Linked DNA regions of Pelodiscus sinensis. The protein of the gene in region 3 purifies or fractionates together with the protein of the main gene of each other region. This does not show direct contact. Links are inferred from orthologs where the notes say so. Each region holds a gene or a part of one and is shown on either strand. Other genes may lie near its edges. The genes, in order: PDIK1L, STK35 and CTDSPL2.

Region 1 (7,406 bases), on a different chromosome or scaffold from region 3:
CCTGTTCAGCTACAGATCCCATAAAATTATTCCCATCCTCCTTCGCATACCTGTAAATAGAGGGAAGAACTAGAACCATGTGACATCTTCTGTACCATACCATCTTTCTGCAAGATGCACTCCTCCAGATGGATAACATTTGGATGCTGGCTCTTGATACTACTAAGTGCCCAGAACTCACGTAACGCTAGTTCCACATTCTCTGGAGCATGGCACCGAATTTTTTTCACTGCAACCCGTGCAGAGGTCTTCCTGACAAGTGCTTCATACACCACACCGTAACTACCACGTCCAACCTCCCGTATTAGATCGTACTTTGGCTGGCTACTCACCATCTTCAAGGCCAAGGGTTCTGGGGAGGGGGGAAAAAAACATCACATGACAAAAAATCCTATGAATAATGACTGATCTGCTTTTCCTCTCTGAATCAGTTAATTAAGTATCATTTGGGCTAATCACTGTGCTTAAAATCAGGATTCCATTCAATAAACTTAAATAAGATTGTAATGAGCCATTATTTTCAGATGTTACCAATATGAAGAAGCATTAAACTTGTTCAGTAAAGCCACAATTAACGCCAAGAAGGATTTTCAAGTGTTACACTTTAGGCTAGTGATATAATGTTAGCCAGCATTTATCATAACATGTTCACAGTTCAAGCCCACAACATTTCTAGCTTTCACTTGCATTAGGTCAGGCTAAAACTGTTACATCTCACAGCATCTTTTACTTTAACATTTTGTTCAGTATCAGTGGAGTACAGTGCTTCCTTTCCCCACATTTTATAGCATTTTCCAGTAAAGGTACTAGCAGAAGCACATACTTAGTGGATCTTACGCACTGTTTCAAACTACATTAAGTGGAAAGTCACAGACAGCATGGGTAAATGTTTTATGGTGTAGTTTATTAAATGGTTTTCTAGTACCAAGGTAAAGGAGTATTTAAAAAATGTTTTTAATTTATAAAAATTAAATACAATCTGAACAGTCAGTTTAAACTGGGCAAGATATTTAAAAACATTCTACATTGTTTACATTCAAATTCTAGTTTCATTATGAAAGGAAGGAGGAAGGACTAAAACTAGTATGTTCATATTTTAAAAAATGGGAACATACCCAAGATCTTCTTTGCAAGGTTACATACCAGAAAATACAACATTACTCACTAATGCAACCAAGCCAGAAAGGAACACTAAATAGACAGAAAATAAACTTTGGCTATCATCACTGGCCAAGTGGAATGACTTGCAAAAAAACAAAGGACTAAATAGAAAACGAGCAAGTCAGGGTATTAGAATGAAAATGATTTTAGAAGTTAGTATCGCAGGCAAGTTGTATTTACCACAGGAAACCATTCACTAAACACTACTTCGCTGAAGCAAAACTATCAATCAACTTTCAAGTACCTACAAAGCGTGCACCATAAAAGAAATAATGGATATCCGTCTCATGACACCATTAGTGCAGATATATGGAGATGTGGCAGCAACATCTTTTATGTGAGTTTACAATTCTGAATGCATTTAAATATAAATTCCCCACAGAAATGCCAGTACAACGTGAGATTCAGATAGTAATATTTATTCAACCTGCTCCTATATTGTGATATAAGCATATGGAGAACAGTGCAGACTAAATGCTAAGGTAAATTAACAAGAACATACAAAAACAAAGGCACTCGCACACAAAAGAGGCATTAAGTATGGATAGTCAAAAAACTACATACAATTAGTGTAGTTGTGAAAGAAAGCTATGGTCATTGCAGGCTCAAACAGTAGGGAGCACAATTTACCTTTGAAACATCAGTTTACACAGAAGCAGGTCTATAGGTAAATAAAAGGCTGCCACCTGTCCTTCCCCATTGTCCTAAAGAGTTGGGGGGGGGGGGGGGGGAAGAGATTTCCAAATTCAACAAGCCCCTCCTCTCACAAGGCATCAGAGCCTATACAATAATCTAATCTAAGCAAACCTCACATCCCAGAAGACAGACTGTGAAGAGGGGTAACTGTTAGTCTGTTTCAGCAAACACAAGGAAGTCCTGTCGCACCTTAAAGACTAACCCATTTATTTGGGCATAAGCTTTCCATGCGCTTAAGCCCACTCTGTCAGATTCCTAAATAAGCAGTAACCCAGTTAACCATCAGCGGTGAGGTTAACAGAAATGATGGTGAAAACTGACCCACACAGGAAACCCCAAAACGTGCCCGTTCCATGGTTCTGGTTCTTTAGGCTATAGGAGCAGGGCCTGGACATTGATTGGCTTTGGGGGGGGTAGAAGGCTCCCCCTGTATATTTTGTAGTGGCACATTTCACAGTTTCTACCCCGCTCCTCCAGGAGGGCTCTCGGCACAGAGCAGCAGACCCCTAAAGGAAGGGGGTGCTGAGGGACTGGTGGCTTAAATGACTTTTACTGAGGTGTCTCCAGCCCATGGGCTGCCCCAACATTTAAATCAAGTCCTGGAAAAAATAGGGGGGGGGGGGAGAGTGGCGCGTTATACTGCACCCCCCCCCATGAGCAGGGTTCCAGGCCAGGCCTCCAGTCCTCCCTGGAGGCCAGAGCTGCCCCCCCCTCCGGGACAAGGGGGGAGCATCAGGAAAATCCCCCCCCCAGCAGGCGAGGCCCCACAAACCAGGCACCAGCAGGTGAGGCCTCCCCCCCCAACCCCCCTTTTCTCCTCAGCACAGCCCCGCCCCATCCTCTCTCCTCAGCCCCGCCCCCCCAGCCCACCCCCCTTCTCCTCAGCCCAGCCCCGCCCCCACCCCATCCGTCCCCCTCAGCCCCGCCCCCCCAGTCCCCTCCCTCAGCTTGACAGCGGGGGACGCAGCTTCCCCTCCCGCCAGGGTTTCCCTCGCGCCAGGGGCCCCTCCCCTCAGGCCGCGCTGCAGCCCCGGGCCCGCGGGGCTCCCGGCCGCCTCCGCGTTACCTCAGCAGCGCCGCGCGCGCTCCTCCCGGCCGCCATTATAGGGTTCTCTTCCCCCCCTCCCCCACTCCGGGCGCCGACACACCCCCCTCCGCGCGCCCCCGCCGCCGCCGGGGCTCCCCTCCCGCGCGCGCGCCGCCCTGGCCGCTTCCCCATTGGCTGAAAGGGCGGGCGAGCCCCCGCGCCTGCTTTGTGGCGCGCGCCGCCGCTTCTGATTGGCCGGGGCCGGATGCGCACGGGGCGGGACTTTCCCGGGGAGCTCGCGCCTCTGTTTGCCGCGTGGGATGCTCCCCCTCGGTTCCATGCGTGGGAGGGGGGAGGGGAAGGATGCACCATGGGTGCAGCTCCCAGAGTGGCCCGGCAATGAGGCTGCCCCATTTAAAGCAGCTGGAATGGGGGGAGGCGGGTTCGTGTAGCCCCCGGTAGGATGCAGTGGGGGGTGCTGCGCCATGGATGCAGCTCAAATGGGGGGGGGGGGCACCTCGCGCAGCTGGGAGAGGGGGGCGGGGGCTGTGCGGCCACGCAGCTCGTATCAACACCCCAGGTGCAAACCCAACGTGCAGCCCTCTTCGGTCGTAATGGGTTGAATTGCACAGGACTGGCCCGAGCCCTCCCCCACCCACTTCCCCCAGGGGACGCTGCTGCCTCCTGCTTGCTGCAGCCCCCCTGTGCAAACACCTACCGTGCCTGTCCCTCCTAGCTGCTGAGTGTCCTGCTGAATTTTAAGGCATTTCTCATTTTTTTATCGTCCGCAATTAGATCTTTGTCATTACAAAATCATAATTTCGCTTTTTTTAAAAAAAACAAAGCAGCCCCCATTAGACTGTCGCTTATTGGTTGCCACCCAGGGAGGAGGACTGCACCTTTTGTTATCCCTTGTCACTGTGTGATGGGGACATGCCTTTTAGGGAACTGCAAGCACGTTGAAGGATGCAAGCATTTGGTAAGATCCTTCCCCCCCTCTTGTCTAGAGGATGGAGGGCTATTGGTATCTTCCCTTAAAGGGACATGTCTGCATTTTTTCCCTGCTGGGAAGTGTGTGGACACACTCCCTGACTATGTGGTGTCTCTCTCATACTAGCCACTGCAAGACATGCAGTTCAGAAGCTATGGCAGCCACCTGAGGCCCCATCTTCTTGATCCCAAATCAATGTGGGAGCAAAGGCACCACTTGCACATACATGTTTAGTGCCCCTGGACTTCATAGCACAAGACGGTCAGGTGTCAATCTTCCTATAACACTCTCACATGGACTGGGCCAGGGATCAGTGTTCATTGCACACACCCACAACTCACACCCATTAACATTCAGACACACTCACACCCATTAACATTCTCAAGCACCTGCCTAGGAAAAACAGTGGAAGGGCCCTGCACCGAGGTCCCAGTATGGACAGTCTAGTACAGAGTACAGGGTGCCCACTTTTATTGTGTGGAAGTAACATCTTACTCTTTAGATTTTTTTTTAACTTTTTTTTTGCCGTAAGATGAAGCCTGTCTGATTAACTCAGTCAGCATTTATTTTGTGTGGTATGTTAATTTGGCCGTTAGGCTCGCAATAGTAGCTATCAGACAGTATCAGTGCATTGATGGCATTAAGGGAGGCAGAAAGAGTGTACAATAGAGATCGGATAATTCCCTAATCTAGTTAAGCCACACTCTGTCCCTCCACATTTGCCACTGTACTGTTCGAGTCTATTGATGGGGAGAGTTAGGTAGCCAATGCTGAAAAGGGGTTCATGTTGCAGCAGTCACTTCATAATCTATCTGTATGCAGGTGTTTAAGAGATCACACTCGATGAAGAGAGATTAAAAAGACTGGGATTTTCAGTTTAGAAAAGGGGAGACTAAGGGGGGATAGGACAGAGGTCTATACAATCATGACAGATATGGAGAAACAAATAAGGAAAAGTTATTTTCTTGTTCCCATAACATAAGAACTAGGGGTCACCAAAAGAAATCAATAGGCAGCAGGTTTAAAACAAACAAAAGGAAGTTTTTCTTCACTCAGCGCACAGTCAACCTGTGGAACTCCTCGCCAGAAGATGTGGTGAAGACTAGGACTTTAACAGGGTTAAAAAAAGAATTAGATAAATTCATGGAGGTTAGGCCCATTGGTGGCTGTTAGCCAGGACGGGTAGGGATGGTGCCCCTGGCCTGTTTGTCAAAGGCTGGGAATGGGTGATGGGAGAGGGATCACTTCATGGTTCTCTGTTCTGTTCCCTCCCTCTGGGGCCCCTGGCACTGGCTACTGTTGGCTGCCAGGACACTGAGCTGGATGGACCTTTAATCTGAGCCAGTCTGGGCATTTTTATCTTCTTACGTTATTTTAAGGGTACATTTATAAATGGTTTGTACAATTGCACCTACCACCAATGAACTCAGCAGCCATCCACCTACTCATCACATTGACATATTTGCAGCATCTATCAGTAAAGTATTGACCCGATATAAACGATAACGACACCCTTGCCATAAAGTATAAGCAAGCATTCTGAGCTTTAACTTCAATGGGACAGAGGGCTGGGCGGGAGTTTGCAACTGTAAGTTAGTCTACTGGTACCAGTAATAAGGAAATACTGTAAATCTTCAGCTAGTGCCCTTTTCAGCACTGCAGGTTCCCAGAGTGAGACTGTATTGACATCTAGTGGCCAAGTGGATTACAGGCAGGCCCTTCAATTGCAAAAGGGGAAGATCTTAAATTGCCAATCTCCTAGAACTGGAAGGGACCTTGAAAGGTCATCGAGTCCAGTCCCCTGCCCTCACAGCAGGACCAAGTACCACCCTGATGAATTTTTGCCCCAAATGGCCTCCACAAGGATTAAACTCACCACCCTGGGTTTAGCAGGCCAATGCTCAAACCACTGAGCTATCCCTCCCTTAAGTCAACTCTTTGTGTTTAATTGTAGCTGTTTGTGGATATTTAAAGTCTTTCAGACTAGCTACTGGGATGGGAGGAGGGATCAAAGCTCATGTGACTAACCCAGGCCAGAAGGGCTTGAGTGGGAGCCGGTGACACCAGGAGGAAGCCTGGGGAACTGTAGCTGGCTCAAAGAAGCAGCTGCAGGTGAGTGAACGGTGCATGGAGCGAGACTGGCTCTTGCAGGGACGGGCTGTGGGGTTACAACCCCCTCTGGGAAGGAAAATTGAGGGCTCCTGAGTCAAATGAGTCATTGCTCTGTGAATTGAACACATGGTTCTGCTCCTCCCGGTACCTGGCGTCTGTCTCTTGGCCACCCTGCAAGTCTTGCTGCCGTGGCTGCATGGCCTTCTCCGTCTCCCCGTGAAGTTCCACCAGCTTCACTGTTGGAGCGGAACTAGTGCAACGCGTGAATGGAGTCCATATCCACCCCCCAGCTCGCTGATGCTGGGTGTATCCGCCCTGCTCAGAGCATCAGCTAACAGCAGGAACTGGCCTGGACTATCTGATCTCTGCCTGCTCTCCCTGGAGCACATCGCTCTGTGCTGCAGTCCCTTTGGCTCACGAAGGGGCTCGTGGGGTCTGTGGTCGTACGGCGCTGTGACTTGGTGCCCGAGGCATGCGGATGGAGCAGCTTCCCCCCAGAGTCGTAGGCAGAAGCTCTTTCTCTGTGTGTGCATGACCCTCTTCATCTCTGCCACGGTTCTGCTGGCGCCAGGGATCCTGCAGAAGAGCCCCGCCCTGCCCGGGAATACCGTGGAATGATCAAAACCCGGATATTTGGATTGACCCAAACACTTTTTCATCTTTTCACTTCGGGACCATTTTTGTGATATTGACGTTTTGTTGCAATTCAGAACTTTAAAGCCACTTTTCCGTGCAGCTGGGACGGGGGCAACTGCTTATTGGTGGGTCTCAGCACAAACTCGTTTCACGTAGGCCACCAAAAAGCCACCCAAGGCGACGACTGTTAATTGCTAACTGCTCGGGCTGGATTAGACTGGGCAAACCCCGGGTGACCAGTTCCCTCTCTCATTACCATTCCCCTGTGACGTCCAGCCCCCTCCCCACCCCAGTCAAATTACTCTGGATGCTTCCTGATCTCAGAAACAGACACCTCTCAGCTTTGCACTCTTCATTCCTGTTGCATTACGCCCAGGCTCGGAGGCCACATGCGGCCCCTGGCTTTCCTGGATCCAGCTCCTGAGGCTAGGGCCTCCCCCCAGCATTGGGGATTCCACGCTGGTGAGGGGTGGATTTGTTTGTTTCTCACTTGTGTGCAGCCCCTGACTGATATTTCTGAGCGTCAGTGGCCCTCGACCCAAAAACGGTTCCCCACCCTGCAGGAATATCATTCTAGCCTGTTACCCTGTGAGTTGACCCTAGCTTTGTCAGCATAGGAGAACTTTAAAGAAGGGACTCGCAGTGTTGGAAGGGGCCGGTGCCCAGTTTAATCCTGGCCATGCTGTCACCAGGAGCTTTTTCCAAAGTCTGCAAATCCTCTGGTAAGGAGGCAGGACTGAGAATAGCCACAGCAGCTGTCAATGGGCACATGTGAAAAATAAA
Region 2 (7,664 bases), on a different chromosome or scaffold from region 3:
GCAGGTAGAGTGGGATGTGGAGGTGCAAGGGTTGGGGGTTATGAGGGGGCAGCTGTGGCGGGGCATGTCTCAGGGCAGGGGATACCTTTCAGGGAGGTCTTCACCAGGTGCAGGTAGAGCTGGCTGGGGGGGATTAGAGGAGCTGGGGGGGTCTCCAGATGGTACATTTCAGGGAGGTCTCCACCAGGCGCAGGTAGAGCTGGCTGGAAGGGTTGGGGGGGCGGTCCTACAGCACGGGGGGGGGGGGGGCTGTGGGGCGGTCCCAGGTCAGGAGGGCTGTGGGGGGGTACCTTTCAGGGAGGTCTCCACCAGGAGCAGGTAGAGCTGTCTCGGGGGGGGTCAGGGAGTGCTGTGGGGGGGGTCCCGGGCACGGGAGGGGCTGTGGGGGGGGGGGTCCCAGGCGTGGGAGGGAGGCAGTATCTTTCAGGGAGGTCTCTACCAAGCACAGATAGAACTGGCTGGGGGGGTCCCAGACTGAGTGGGCTTTGGGGGGCTCCCAGGGCGCAGGGGGGAGGCGGTACCTTTCAGGGAGGTCTCCACCAGGCTCAGGTAGAACTGGCTGGGAGGGTTGGGGGGCTGTGGGAGGGGGTCCCAGGGCGCAGGGGGGGCCGTGTGGGGGTCCCAGGCAAGGGGGGGGGGAGAACACCTTTCAGGGAGGTCTCCACCAGGCACAGGCAGAGCTGGCTGGGGGGGTTAGGAGGGCTATGGGGGGGGTCCCAGGGTCGGGGGAGGGTGACTATGGGGGGGTCTCGGGGCCGGGGGGTTCCGGGGTGGGGGGCTATGGGGGCGGTCCGGGGGGGGCGGTACCTTTCAGGGAGGTCTCCACCAGGCGCAGGTAGAGCTGCCTTGGGGGGGGATAGGGGGATTATGGGGGGGTCCCAGGGCAGGGGGGCTGTGGAGGGGGTAACCTTTCAGCAAGGTACCTTTCAGCGAGGTCCCCACCAGGCGCAGGTAGAGCTGGCTAGGGAGATTATGGGGGGGTTAGGAGGGTTAGGGGGGCTCCCAGAGCCGGGGGGGGCTATGGAGGCGGTCCGGGGGGGCTCTGTGGGGTCCCAGGGGGGCAATACCTTTCAGCGAGGTCTCCACCAGGCGCAGGTAGAGCTGGCTGGGGGGGCTCTAGGGGGGGTCCCGGGGCTGGGGGGGGCTCTAGGGGGGCGGTACCTTTCAGCGAGGTCTCCACCAGGCGCAGGTAGAGCTGGCTGGGGGGGCTCTAGGGGGGGTCCCGAGTTGGGGGTTATGGGGGGGCTCTAGGGGGGTCCCGGGGCTGGGGGGGCTCTAGGGGGGCGGTACCTTTCAGCGAGGTCTCCACCAGGCGCAGGTAGAGCTGGCTGGGGGGGCTCTAGGGGGGGGTCCCGGGGCTGGGGGGGGGCTCTAGGGGGGCGGTACCTTTCAGCGAGGTCTCCACCAGGCGCAGGTAGAGCTGGCGGGGGGGCCTCTAGGGGGGGTCCCGGGGCTGGGGGGGCTCTAGGGGGGCCCGGGGGGCGGTACCTTTCAGCGAGGTCTCCACCAGGCGCAGGTAGAGTTGGCGGGGGGGGCTCTAGGGGGGGGTCCCGGGGCTGGGGGGGCTCTAGGGGGGGTCCCAGGCGGGGGGGCTCTAGGGGGACCCGGGGGGCGGTACCTTTCAGCGAGGTCTCCACCAGGCGCAGGTAGAGCTGGCGGGGGGGGCTCTAGGGGGGCTCGGGGGGGCGGTACCTTTCAGCGAGGTCTCCACCAGGCGCAGGTAGAGCTGGCTGGGGGGGCTCTAGGGGGGGTCCCGGGGCTGGGGGGGCTCTAGGGGGGCGGTACCTTTCAGCGAGGTCTCCACCAGGCGCAGGTAGAGCTGGCTGGGGGGGCTCTAGGGGGGGTCCCGGGGCTGGGGGGGCTCTAGGGGGGCGGTACCTTTCAGCGAGGTCTCCACCAGGCGCAGGTAGAGCTGGCGGGGGGGGCTCTAGGGGGGGTCCCGGGGCTGGGGGGGCTCTAGGGGGGCTCGGGGGGGCGGTACCTTTCAGCGAGGTCTCCACCAGGCGCAGGTAGAGCTGGCTGGGGGGGCTCTAGGGGGGGTCCCGGGGCTGGGGGGGCTCTAGGGGGGGTCCGGGGGGGCGGTACCTTTCAGCGAGGTCTCCACCAGGCGCAGGTAGAGTTGGCTGGGGGGGCTATGGAGGGGGTCCCGGGGCTGGGGGGCTCTAGGGGGGGTCCCAGGCGGGGGGGCTCTAGGGGGGTCCGGGGGGCGGTACCTTTCAGCGAGGTCTCCACCAGGCGCAGGTAGAGCTGGCTCTGCTTGTTGCCGTGGCTCATGCGCTGGCCCAGCCCGTCGCGCTGCAGGACGCACTCCTCGAAGCGCACCACGTTGGGGTGGCGGCGGCGCAGGCTGGTCAGGGCCCAGAACTCGGCCAGCGCCAGCTCCACGTTCTCGGGCGCGTCGCAGCGGATCCGCTTGACCGCCAGGCGCGCGCCGCTGCGGCCCGACACGGCCTCGTAGACCACCCCGTAGGAGCCGCGCCCGATCTCCGCCACCAGGCTGTAGCGCGGCGCCCCGGGCCCGCCGCCCGCCGCCATGGGGCCCCTCAGCGCCGGGCCCCGCTCCCGCTCGGGCCGCCGCCTCCGCTCCGCCGCGGGCCTTTGTGTCCCTCGGCGGCCGCCGTCCGCCGCGGCCGTTTCCATGGCTGCTGCGCCGCGGGGGGGCCTGGCTGCTGCCGCCCGCGAGCCCCACTCCTCATCCCTGCGCCCGGGGCGCGGGGAGCATCGGCCGCCTCCAGCAACCGGAGCCGGCTGCGAACGACACCGGCCCGACAGGCGAGGATGGAGACGGGGGGCGTGGGGCTGAGTCGGCGGACAGAAAAGCGCGCCCTGCCTGCCCCTTTAAGGCTTCAGCCAATCGCGGCGGCCGAGGCGAGGGAGGCCGAACCATTCAGGGGCGAGAGGGGGGACGAGAAGGGGGAGTCCAACCCAAAAGCCCCCCAAGACAAACAAGAGCCGTTGTTCCACGCACCGCTCGAAAAACCCCAATTAGGAACCCTAGTGAGGGGGGCTTGCTAGCCTTTCCGAGCGCTGCCGTTGGCTCAGCTGCCATCCCAGTGTCTGGCTTTCCCCCCGGTGCCCAATGGTTTCTCCCCTGGAGTGTAAACACTCCCTAGCTGGCCGCCGGGAGATGGGCGAGTCCATTATTTACCATGGGGAGGGGGGTGGAGGAATAACGCACTTACTTGTCCCCTGCCCCTGACAAGCCCCCGTGGCTGGGCCGGGGGCAGCTGCCGCCGCTCGGCTGGGGGAGGTGTCGCTGCTGCTACGGGGCCCGCCCCTGGGCGGCGCAGGGGGCTGAGGGGCCGCCGCTGCTGTGAGTCCCCCCCCCCGAGCGCGGTGCCGGGCTCCGGGCGCTGCGCGCGGACAATGCGGCTGAGCGGCGGGGGCTGCTGGAGCGGAGTCGGGGCGCAGTAGCCCCTTACGTAACCGCTTATGTAACCGCCGGGCCGGCCGAGGGGGAGGGGTGGGGTGGGCAGTGGGGGGGTGAGCGGGGAGGGGTGGGAGGGAGAGAGGGGTGGGCAGTGGAGGGGGTGAGGGGGGGGAGGGGTGGGCAGTGGGGGGTGAGCGGGGAGGGGTGGGAGGAGGAGAGGGGTGGGCAGTGGGGGGGGTGAGGGGGGGGAGGGGTGGGCAGTGGGGGGGTGAGCGGGGAGGGGTGGGAGGGGGAGAGGTGGGCAGTGGGGGGTGAGCGGGGAGGGGTGGGAGGGGGAGAGGGGTGGGCAGTGGGGGGGGTGAGGGGGGGGAGGGGTGGGCAGTGGGGGGTGAGCGGGGAGGGGTGGGAGGGGAGAGGGGTGGGCAGTGGGGGGGTGAGCGGGGAGGGGGTGAGGGAGAGGGGTGGGCAGTGGGGGGGGTGATCGGGGAGGGGTGGGAGGGGGGGAGGGGTGGGCAGTGGGGGGGTGAGTGGGGAGGGGTGGGAGGGGGAGAGGGGTGGGCAGTGGGGGGGTGAGCGGGGAGGGTGAGGGAGAGGGGGTGGGCAGTGGGGGGTGAGCGGGGAGGGGTGGGAGGAGGAGAGGGGTGGGCAGTGGGGGGGGTGAGGGGGGAGGGGTGAGGGAGAGGGGTGGGCAGTGGGGGGGGTGAGTGGGGAGGGGTGGGAGGGGGAGTGGGGTGGGCAGTGGGGGGGTGAGTGGGGAGGGTGAGGGAGAGGGGTGGGCAGTGGGGGTGAGTGGGGAGGGGTGGGAGGGGGAAGAGGCGGGCAGTGGGGGGGTGAGGGAGAGGGGTGGGCAGTGGGGGGGATGAGGGGGGGAGTGATGGGAGTAAATGGAGGAGTGGGCTGTAGTGGGGTACGTCTAGACTACATGCCTCTGTCGCCAGAAGCATGTAGATTAGGCTACCCGACATAGTAAAATGAAGCGGCAATTTAAATAATCGCCGCTTCATTTAAATTTACATAGCTGCCGCGCCCAACCAACAGCCATGTCCCAACCAACCCCCACCAAACTGTACAAAGCCCCCAGTATCCTATCCCCATGCTTCTTCATTACTGCACCTGCCTAATTCATATCCTGCAGAATGAAGAGCCCCCATCCCCCAATGTATTACCTGCACCAGCATAGCCACTCCCAAGTCAAACAACTTCAGTCTGCAGCTGCACAGCCTTCTGATGGTGCCCCCATGCTGCTACTGTACACTCCTTCCTAGCCTTGAGTTCCCCATTCACACCTACATCCTCCTGCCACCTACCCCTTCCTTTTCAGGGTCTGGCCTGCTGCAGCCCACCCCTCCCCCTACACTGCCATCCACCTGCCACCCCCTCTTCATACCTCCATTCCATGTAAATTTAAATGAAGCGGCGATTATTTAAATCGCCGCTTCATTTTCCTATGTCTGGTAGCCTAATCTACATGCCTCTGGCGACAGAGGCATGTAGTCTAGACGTACCCGTGGAATGGAGGTATGAAGAGGGGGTGGCAGGTGGATGGCAGTGTAGGGGGAGGGGTGGGCTGCAGCAGGCCAGACCCTGAAAAGGAAGGGGTAGGTGGCAGGAGGATAACAGACCCTATATTTTAGCTGCACTGTCTCAAAATCCTCCTTAGCATGCACTAGTCTAAAATAGCTTTGTCTCACTCATAGCTTGCTAGACACTGCTTTCTCAAAGCCATTAATGAATAGTTCTGGACACAACACCACTTCCAGGGCTGTCCCACAGAGAGGGTCTCAGTCTGCATGGAGGAGAAACTATTGGTTAAATGCTGAGCTATGGAAGTCACAGTTTGATAATACCCAAAGCCAGAAGTCATTCACAGCCGGTCCAATTTTATCTGAATCACCATTTTTTAAAGGGGATCATAGAATTTGGCTGAAAAAATATCAGCTTTGGTCCATTTGTTATCTTTATGCAATGCCATGAATGCATGCGGTGCTTTATCAGAAAGGCTGAGGCTGAACTCTTTAAGACACATAGGATTTGGAGGCATAACTCATTTCAATGGGGACTGTGTCTAAATGCCTAGTTGGCTTTGCAAATTTCAGCCTGGGTCCATGCCTTAAAATGCTTATGATTTAAAGCAGTTGTGTCTCAAAGTGTAGTTCACGACCCTCTTGCAGGTGGGCCATAGTCTTTGGGTTTGCCCCCCCCTCATTGCCCCCAGTGGGTAGACCACTCTGTTGCTCTAGCCCCGTTCCCCCACGAGACTGGGGTGCCAGCACTAGCTTCCTGCTGGGGTGGGGAGGAGCCTCACAGGCTGGATTCAGCTTGCTGGATAGGGAGCAGCTGGGGGAATGTCAGTACAGGAAATTGTTTGTCTGGAAGTTTTCCTTGCTGCTCTCATTGGCCAGAATCATAGCCAGTGGGATCAGGGAGGAGGGGTATGGAGCCGACTTAGTACCCCCCCATCCTCATGGCCAGACTTTGCACCCCATCTTCTTCATGAACCCCTCTTTGTGCTGAGCCCCCACATGCCCACCCTGCTCCTGCCCCCTCGCTCCTGCCCAGAACCAATATTCCCCCTAACATTTTCCATCCTTGGGCAGGTTGAAATTTCTTATGTGTACCACCAATATTGAGGTTGTATGTAGATATCTGTACAGTGTGTCCCAATAAAACAAAAAAACTAGGTATAAATATATATTTTTAACAGTCCATAGGTATGAAAGACAATATATTAAAAAAGGGATAATTAACAAGGTGCAATGCTTAAAATGTTTTATTTAGTATGAAATCAAATAAAGAAAACTAACACGACCCTTGGAGTACATGTATTATTGTCTTTTCTAACAACTCAAGCTAGTAAACATACCAAAATGGGGCATGCTGCAAATAGCTATGCAAATACATCTAAGACATGTCCATTAAGTAAAAGCCTAAAAATATGCACAGCTTTAAGATGCTAAGCAAATCTATGAATCAACTAGAAATGGTCACACGCTCCTTGACAATATTAATACAATATTTACTGACACTAGAAAGGAGAATAAAAGGCATTCACTCAAGCTTACATGCTTTCTCTGGGGAATGTTTAGAATCCATGCTATGCAAATAAAACAGAGAAAAGGTCTGGTTTGAAACCTTCACCTTGTGTGTGTCTCTCTAACTCAGAGTAGAAGCTCCCAGAGTATTTGTCCAGAATCCAACTCCAGTTGAAAGGCCAAACAAATTAAACTGGATCTATGGTAAAGTTCTTCCAGTTTTAACAATTTACCATGTATTAACTAGTGACATGGGATTTTTTTTAAAAAATCATTACGATCTGAGTTTGCAGATATCTACAACACTGAAAAACCTCTTAAAAGAATAATTTTCTTTCTTACCGCAAGCCATTAACACCTATGTAAACTTTGTTTGAAATGTAATCACGCACATATTATGAGCTAGGCCTTTTGTTCCAGTATTTAAAAGCAGCCTACAAGCTTTTAACTCACCAGAATTTTTGGCACCACCCCAATACATCCTGCCCCAGCCTAGGAGAGAGTCCTATGTCTGCAGTCTATGGCTGCTGTGCTGAGACAGACAGTCTGGCTCTTGCTGTTTGCAGTCCAGATGGGGGCAAGTTAACACACAACAAACAAAATCTCCTCTATCCCCACCTTACTGCACAGACACCAGCACTGCCCCCTGCCATTTCCTCCACCTACCCCATGCAGTCTGCTCCCTCTTTCCCAGCTCAGGAAGCTAGAGGAGTGTGCTAGGTTTCCTCACAGGAAGCTGCAGTAAATCAGACCTCTGATAAGACATCTCCTCTCCCAGACACATACTGCATGCTCCAAATTCCCCTCCTGCCCCCCTCCCATCCTAGCCATGTGCCTCTCTCCTCCTTATGTCCTCTTCCCTTCAGGAGCTGGGAGCTTCTGCTGCTGAGGGTGTGCCCCTCCCCAGCCAGAAAGCTCTCTGCATGGCAGCCCTAAACCTCTGGGTGGGGCTCAATTAGCAGCTCAATTAGATCCTCCCACCCTCAGCTTGTTCTTGCATCTCCCTCCTTCAAGACCCCCCACTTCCACTCTGCTCCTGCACCCTCCCTCCCAGACCCCACACCCAGCTCCTGCACCCATTTTGTCATTACGGGTGGTTGGCTGGTGGTCTGCGGAAGGGTCTGTGTTGAATGGTCCAGGCCATGGGCCAAAAAGTCTGAAGACTATTGCTCCAGAAACGGACTGTACTGTAGTAAAAATAAGGGGTTCCAACAAGTCAGTCTAGTGTTGCACTATCTAAGCTAGAGACTGCAACCAAGAAC
Region 3 (7,553 bases):
TATTGTAAAGAACAAAATTATCAAGACCATAAATCATTAGTTCTTAACCAGCAATACATGTATTCTGGGGATACACAAAAGTCTTCTAGGGGGGTCCATCAACTCATCTAGATATTTGCCTAATTTTATAACAGGTTACTACAAAGTGCTAGCAAAGCCACTACAGGCAGTTCCCGGATTACGTACAAGATAGGGACTGTAGGTTTGTTCTTAAGTTGAATCTGTATGTAAGTCGGAACTGGCATCAGCCGCTGCTGAAACTGATCAGTTTCAACTGCGGCTGAATCTGGACGCCAGTTCTGACTTACATACAGATTCCACTTAAGAAACCCAGGTGTCCCCAAGTCAGCTGCTGCTGAAACTGATCAGCTGCTGATTCCAGGAAGCCTGGGGCAGAGCAACTCTGCCTCGGGCTTCCTGTAGTCAGCCGCTGGTCAGTTTCAGCAGCGGCTGACTTGGGGACGCCTGGGGCAGAGCAGCTGGGGTGCTGCTGGGTTGCTCCAGTAGCGCGGCTCCTCGGCGCTACTGGAGCAACCCAGCAGCACCCCAGCTGCTCTGCCCCAGGCGTCCTGATTCAGCTGCTGCTGAAACTGACCAGCAGCGGCTGAATCAGGACGCCTGGGGCAGAGCAGCTGGGGTGCTGCCGGGTTGGTCCAGAGCGACGCTGCGGGACCAACCCGGCAGCCCCCAGCTGCTCTACCCCAGGGGTAGGCAAGAAAAGCCTGGTCTGCTGGGGGGGGGCACTAGCTGCACCCCCCCAGCAGACCAGGGAGATGGAGAGCAAAGCCTTGGAGCACGCCCGCAGCGGGACAGCCCAGGCGTGCCACGGCTGTCCCACTGCGGGCGTGCTCCGAGGCTTTGCTCCCCATCTCCCTGGTCTGCTGGTCGGGAGACGGGGAGCAAAGCCGCGGAGCACGCTCTCAGGGGGACAGCTCAAGCGCGCCCGGGCTGTCCCGCTGCGGGCGTGCTCCAAGGCTTTGCTCCCCGTCTCTCTGCAGACCAGGGAGACGGGGAGCAGCTTTTCTCGCCCCGGAGGACGGGGGCGGCGGACTGCGGCGCATCTGGGCGTCCCGCCGCTCCCGTCCTCTGGGGCGAGAAAAGCCCCGTTCGTAACTGCGGATCTGACATAAGTCGGATCCGCGTAACTCGGGGACTGCCTGTACAAGCTAAAATTGCATACAATGGCTTATTTGTATTGCTCTATAAACTACACACTAAAATGTAATAATATTTCTATTCTAATTTATTTTTATAATTACAGTATAACGTAAATATGAGAAAATGAGCAATTTTTCAGTTATAGTGGATTATGTCTTTTGAATTTTGATGTCTGATTTTGTAAGCAAGTAGTTTTTAGTGAGGTGAATCTTGGGGTCTGGAAAGACAAATTAACAACCTGAAAGGGATACAGTTAATCTGGAAAGGCTGAGAGCCACTGGTCTAGCCCAGTTCATTTATTTTAATGGCTTATCAAACTCCTCTAACTAAGCTTTAAATGTAAGAATCTATATAAACTTTTTTTTCACTGTTGAGAATACAAAAAATACCAGCAAACATGTACAGCAACAAACTTTGCAGCCGCTCACACACCCTCACTACATATGCGGGGGGGGGGGGGGGGAGAACAGGAGTTATACTGCTGTCAGACTCTGTCAAAATGAATGATGTATTGGGTCTACAGCACCTTCCTCCCAGGAGAGTTCCAAAGACTTTCACAGGTTAAGTGCACCAAGATATTTGCTATACATAGGGTTTTTGCTGCAATGGAGCTATACACAGAAACGTTCACTATTGTCACAAGCAGAGTAGGCCCCAACCACCTGTATATTCTGACAGCAGCTTCTGGACTAAACATTTTACTTTTGCCTCCCCAGTGTGGTCAAGCCAACAAACACCGTGCTCTTTTCTAATTTCAGTAGGAATAGGATCTGTTGTCCAAACATTGCCAGTAACCTAAAAAACACCTCCTATAAACTGTTTCTTCCCCCCCCCCCCAGAAACAGCAAAACACTATCCCCAGCCACATTAAACCAATTTTCTACTCAGAGTCAATAGCAAAACCAATGCATTCCCTCCTAAGAAATCTTCACTACAGCATATCAACAAAATATTGTTTTTCCCAGTCTTCTTAGTAACCTAAGATGTCCTCCTTTATCCATAAATTGTCCTCACCCTCCTGCTCAGAACCTACATAGCCCTCCTAGACTTTAGGCTTTGTCTTCACTAGGGGAAAATTGTGTATTCTTTACTCAATTAACTCAATGTAAAATCCTAATGAAAATATTGAAATGTATAGTTTTTACCCTAGTTAGCAGGTTGAATTAAAAGCTATGTTTTCATGACCAAAAGATTTTTTTTGTAGAAAGGAGGGCAACTAGTTATCGCACTGTAAACTCCTAGACTGGCATGATGTTGCGCAAAAGATTTGCTTTGCACAAAAGCATCCGTGCCAGTGTAGACGCTCTCTTGTGCAAGAAAGCTCCCATGACCAATTTAGCCATTGGGCTTTCTTGCGCGAGAAATTAATGTGGCTGTCTACACTGGCCCTCTTGCGCAAGAATACTTGCGCAAGAGGGCTTATCCCTGAGCGGAAGCGTCAGAGTATTTGTGCAAGAACCACTGATTTTATACATTACAAAGTCAGTGTTCTTGCGCAAATACTCACGGCCAGTGTAGACAGGCAGCAAGATTTTGTGCAAAAGCAATTGCTTTTGCGCAAAATCATGCCAGTCTAGACGCAGCCCTAGTGAAGAAAAGAATTGAGGCTGTGTCTACACTTGCACTTGCTTGACAAAACTTATATCCCTCACAGAATACTAGAACTGGAAAGTACTGGGGGGGGGGATGATAGCTTAGTGGCTTGAGCATTGGCCTGTTAAACCCAGGGTTGTGAGCTCAATTCTTGAGGCCATTTGGGGCAAAAATTGTCAGCAATGGTACTTGGTCCTGCTATGAAGGCAGGGGACTGGACCTGATGACCTGTCAAGGTTCCTTCCACTTCTAGAAGATAAGCAATCTCCATTCATTTGAAAATAATTTACCTTAACTAACTCATTAAAACCCTTTTTTTCTAGCAAAGTTAAGGCCTGTAAACAGTATCCTCAATCTGCTCACCTCATTATTTTCTCCAGTCTCTCTACAGCATCCTCCTATCACTAAAGTTTGCCTTGTTTGTCCCACTTGTTGCAGCTCTAGCGATGAGAGTTCCTATGTTGACAGGGGATTTTCACTACTGTATTGCTTGCTCCTCCTATCAGCAGTAAGCCAGGCTTCTGTCTTGACTGCGCCTGTCAGTACTAGCACTGCCACTCACTACATTTCACCTAAGGGAACTGGGGAAAGGGCTGCATACCAGCCCAGACCTGACCTCTGTGTAAATTCAAAAGCTCCTCTCACCCACAGAAATTGGTCCAATAAAAGATATTACCTCTCCCAGGTTGTGTCTCTAATATGCCCACCCACATATTTATGTCATACTCATCACAATGGAGTCTGAACCTCACAGTGCCAGAGTATGAGTCCCCCACTCATTATGGTGTAAGGCACTGCTGACCCAGGCCTTCTCCAGTGTGAGGCATCCTCCTTACAGCCCTCCCTCCCAGTGTGAGGTGCCCCCCCCACTCACGTGCCCCTACCCGTGTGAGGTGCCCCTGCCACTCACAACCCTCCCCTCCACTGTGAGGCAAAAAAGCCCTCACAGTCCTCACCCATGACACCCCTTCCCAGCTCTCCCCCCCAACTTCATCCTGGTGTGAGGAGCCTCCTGACCCACGATCCACTCCTTTCCCAGTGAGAGGCACCCCCCACTCACAGCCTGCCAACCCCATCAGTGCCAGGCAACCAAACCCCTCCCAGTGTGATGCCCCCTCACGGCCTGTAGACAGCTCCCCCCCCACGAACCCTCCCAGTGTGGGGCAGCCCCTCTCAGCTAGCCCCCCCCCGTGTGATGCCCCTCTCAGCTAGCCCCCCCCGTGTGATGCCCCTCACAGCTAGCCCCCCCCGTGTGATGCCCCTCTCAGCTAGCCCCCCCGTGTGATGCCCCTCACAGCTAGCCCCCCCCCCGTGTGATGCCCCTCACAGCTAGCCCCCCCCCCCGTGTGATGCCCCTCTCAGCTAGCCCCCCCCGTGTGATGCCCCTCACAGCTAGCCCCCCCCGTGTGATGCCCCTCTCAGCTAGCCCCCCCGTGTGATGCCCCTCACAGCTAGCCCCCCCCCCGTGTGATGCCCCTCACAGCTAGCCCCCCCCCGTGTGATGCCCCTCTCAGCTAGCCCCCCCGTGTGATGCCCCTCACAGCTAGCCCCCCCCCCCGTGTGATGCCCCTCACAGCCCCCCCCCCGTGAGGCAACGCACCTCACGGCCCCCGCCCACTGTGAGGCAGCCCCGTTGAGGCCAGCGCTCCCCAGTGAGCCCCCCCCCCCCGCGTGAGGCCTCCCGCGCGAGGCGCCCTCGCTGGCAGCTCCCCGCCGCGCGCGCCGCCCGCGGGCCGAGCGACCCCTGGCCCCCCCCGGGCGCTGTCCGCCGCGCGAGGCCCCGCTCCTCCCCGGCGCTGTCCCGACCCCCTCCCCGGCCGGGCTGCGCCTGCGCGGCGGCCCCTCTCCCATCCGGGTCCCTCCGTGCGGTGTAGCAGGTCGGTAGGCGGGAAATGGCGACTGGCTGCTGAGCGGCTGCGGAGCCCCGGCGGCGGTGTAAACACAGCGGCGCCCGCCCGGCCTGGCCGCCGGGGCCCGGGACACCGGGGCCCGCCTCCTCGGCACCCCGCACCCACAGGTACCTGACACCCCCTCCCAGCCAGCGCGGGGTCGCGCCCGGGATCGGGGAGCCAGGGGGGCTCCCTCCCGAAGTGGCCCCGGAGGCGCCCCCTCTCCGGGCCTGGCCCTGCCTGCGGGGCGGGCTCCCCTCGTGGAAAGCCGCCCCCGACGGGGGTCCCCTGTGCCGGGCGTGAGGAGACACCGCCGCGCCGGGCTCCTGCCGTCCCTCCCCACCGCCGAGACCACTCGGCACAGCCCCCTTCCGAGAGGGGCCCCGGCCCCCCCCGCCGCGCCCCCATGTGCCGGGGCAGGGCGCTGGGGGGCTGTCACCTCCCGCCCGACACCCCCAGCTCCCCCCTCAGGCCTAGGCCTGTGGTGAGACGACTCCGCCTAGAATCCCAGCTGCCTCCCCCATCTCCGGGTGCCCCGGGTTATTGGGGGCGTGGGGGGTAATGCTCTGACTTGGGCGCTGCCGGGGTGTCCTGCGGGGGACCCCCTGCTGCCGCTGGCTTTTCTGCATCCCAAGTTGGGTTTGTTTAGGGGGCGTAGCTCTCTTGCCTGCCTCTGAGTCCATGTTACACACAAACACGCGCGCACACACGGGGAAGTGTGGGGAGCGCAGCACAGGATATGCCTGTTGCTGCCTCTTGTTGCAGTTACAGTGGGGAGTGAAGCACTGGACACCGCTGAGGGGCTCGTTCTTACGGTGATCGCTCGGTAGCCTGGCATGAGCCCGTCCTGGGCTGAAGGATGTTGGGGAACTCTGTTCCTGTGCATGCCTGTTGCTGGCTCTTACTGCGGAGACATTGGGGAGTCGTGCCTGCTCTTGAATCTAATGGGGTGTACAGTGACCAATATGCTTCTTGCTGTCTCTATTGGTAATGATCATGGAGAACATAACCTTGGATGTGCTTGTTTCTGACAATGACAGGCATAATATTGGGGAGAGTGACAGTGAACATTCCTGTCGCTGACTAGAGTGATGATATTGGTTGGAGTGGTAGCCTTGTGGGGGATGCCACATTGGATGTGTCTCACTCACGATGATAATATTGGGGACCACTGCAGATGATGTCCCCATCACTGAGTTGGGTTGTATCATAATATTGGGTTGCATTGCTACACTGAATGTGTCAGTTGTTCACTTCTACAGTATTGGAGAGTGTAGCAGTGGGTTTGCTTGTTGCTCACTTTTACAAGAATATTTGGGACTGCGTCATAGAATGGGTCCAGTAGTCATTTTTGTAACAATGTTGGTGGGCTCTGTATCAGAGCTATCACTTCGTTTATCCAAAGAAATACCAAAGAATGCAGCATGGAAGGTATTTGTTCCCTTCATAATGATGATTTTGGGGGATGTAGTACAGTACCTGTTTTGCTCTGTTTTATTATGATATTTGGGTTCACAGCTTCCCTTATGTTTATGGTTCATTTTTAAAAGAATACTGAGGATCAACTGGAGAATATGCCTGTTTCTTTTTGATGATTATAGAGTACTTTCCACTCATAGTACTGTGGTCTATGAAAGGATCTCAAAGCACTTTGCATTAATTAATACATTATTTTTCTGTTGCCTCAGGCAAGTCACTTAACATCTTTTCTGGTTTCCCCATCTATAAAATTGGAACATTAATACCTCACAGGGGTGTTGTGAGGATTAATGAGTTAATGTTTGTGAAGGGCTGTGAAGTTGAAAAGACCTATATAAATGTTGGGTATTATTATTATTAAAGCGTCATGACACATTGAGTCAAGATAGTTGTATTGTACCTGTTTTAGACATGGCTTAACTGAGGCGTAGAGATTATGACTTAAACAGAATTACACATTGAATATTTAACAGTGGCAGCCGTAATTATTACATGCTGTAAGCACTAGAGAACACCACTACTTTTTTACTTCTATCAAATGGGTATACTGTATTTTCTCAGATGTTATTTTCCCTGGGAAGCGTCATGATTTTGGTGATGCTATTTTGTTTTACTTAGTTTTGGTTTTCCACATATGTCTTACCCATTTGTAGACTTTAAAAGTATCATGGCACAGTTTGTAAAAATTAGAGTTGTGTGCCCCAGGGTTTTGGACAAATTCAGGTAATTACATTTAGCCTCTCTCAATTCTGTTATTCCTGCCAGGGTATTTACACTGTATAAAACATTCTTCACTTTCATAAAGTATTGTGTGGCGTCCTGGTTTGACTTCAGGGATACAGAATAAAGTTCCTAATCATTACTGTGTTCTGCCTCAGGTATGACTGCATTTCAGAGATTTGCCTTTAGTATCCCTTTCCTGCCCCGCACAGGTTTTCAGAGTTTTAATGTTTGTAATATTATTGGAAATCTCTTGTTTAAGTGTAGTACAGAAGTTAAGAATATTATTTTATAAATGCCAGTGCATTTCAGTGATCTAAAGGTAACTTTACTTCAGCAGAGTGTACATTTCAAGATGAAACAAGCTACTGTGTGAAAATGTCTTACTTTATTTTCCAAAAGAATGACATGATGACACAGCTTATTTTCGGAATAGCCAAGCTGAGTGGTGTTCTTTGTTTCCTTTTTAATTACATGGTGCTCTTCAGTCATTTACACCCTTAATTTTTACTATGTTTGTCAGTAGCAGTCTTATTCATGATTCATATTAGTACTTACTTCTTTTCTTGACACAAGTTACCCCAATTAAGGTTGTGACACTAATAAAAGAAAGGAAATATAAAATTAAGACTGAGGCCTGTTCTATTGTAATTTGTAATTAATGAAGCACAATTTATTTTATGTATAAAGGAAATCACTGTTACGGGATTCTTT

Evidence for each region.
Region 1: the proteins of CTDSPL2 (region 3) and PDIK1L purify together in Homo sapiens (affinity purification with mass spectrometry; 4 studies listed by BioGRID and IntAct, counting the BioPlex papers as one, with this or other methods). This does not show direct contact. The link is inferred for Pelodiscus sinensis from reciprocal best matches to the Homo sapiens genes CTDSPL2 and PDIK1L.
Region 2: the proteins of CTDSPL2 (region 3) and STK35 purify together in Homo sapiens (affinity purification with mass spectrometry; 3 studies listed by BioGRID and IntAct, counting the BioPlex papers as one, with this or other methods). This does not show direct contact. The link is inferred for Pelodiscus sinensis from reciprocal best matches to the Homo sapiens genes CTDSPL2 and STK35.

What each region holds. Positions count from the first base shown.
Region 1 is NC_134735.1:1,689,190-1,696,595, reverse strand, and holds the start of PDIK1L (serine/threonine-protein kinase PDIK1L), read right to left. Parts: upstream 3,051-7,406; 5' UTR 2,924-3,050; intron 1,866-2,923; 5' UTR 1,792-1,865; intron 353-1,791; 5' UTR 336-352; coding exon 51-335; intron 1-50.
Region 2 is NC_134728.1:3,043,522-3,051,185, reverse strand, and holds the start of STK35 (serine/threonine-protein kinase 35), read right to left. Parts: upstream 3,081-7,664; 5' UTR 2,641-3,080; coding exon 2,214-2,640; intron 1-2,213.
Region 3 is NC_134724.1:772,566-780,118, forward strand, and holds the start of CTDSPL2 (CTD small phosphatase-like protein 2), read left to right. Parts: upstream 1-4,473; 5' UTR 4,474-4,768; intron 4,769-7,553. UniProt on the Homo sapiens protein: Probable phosphatase.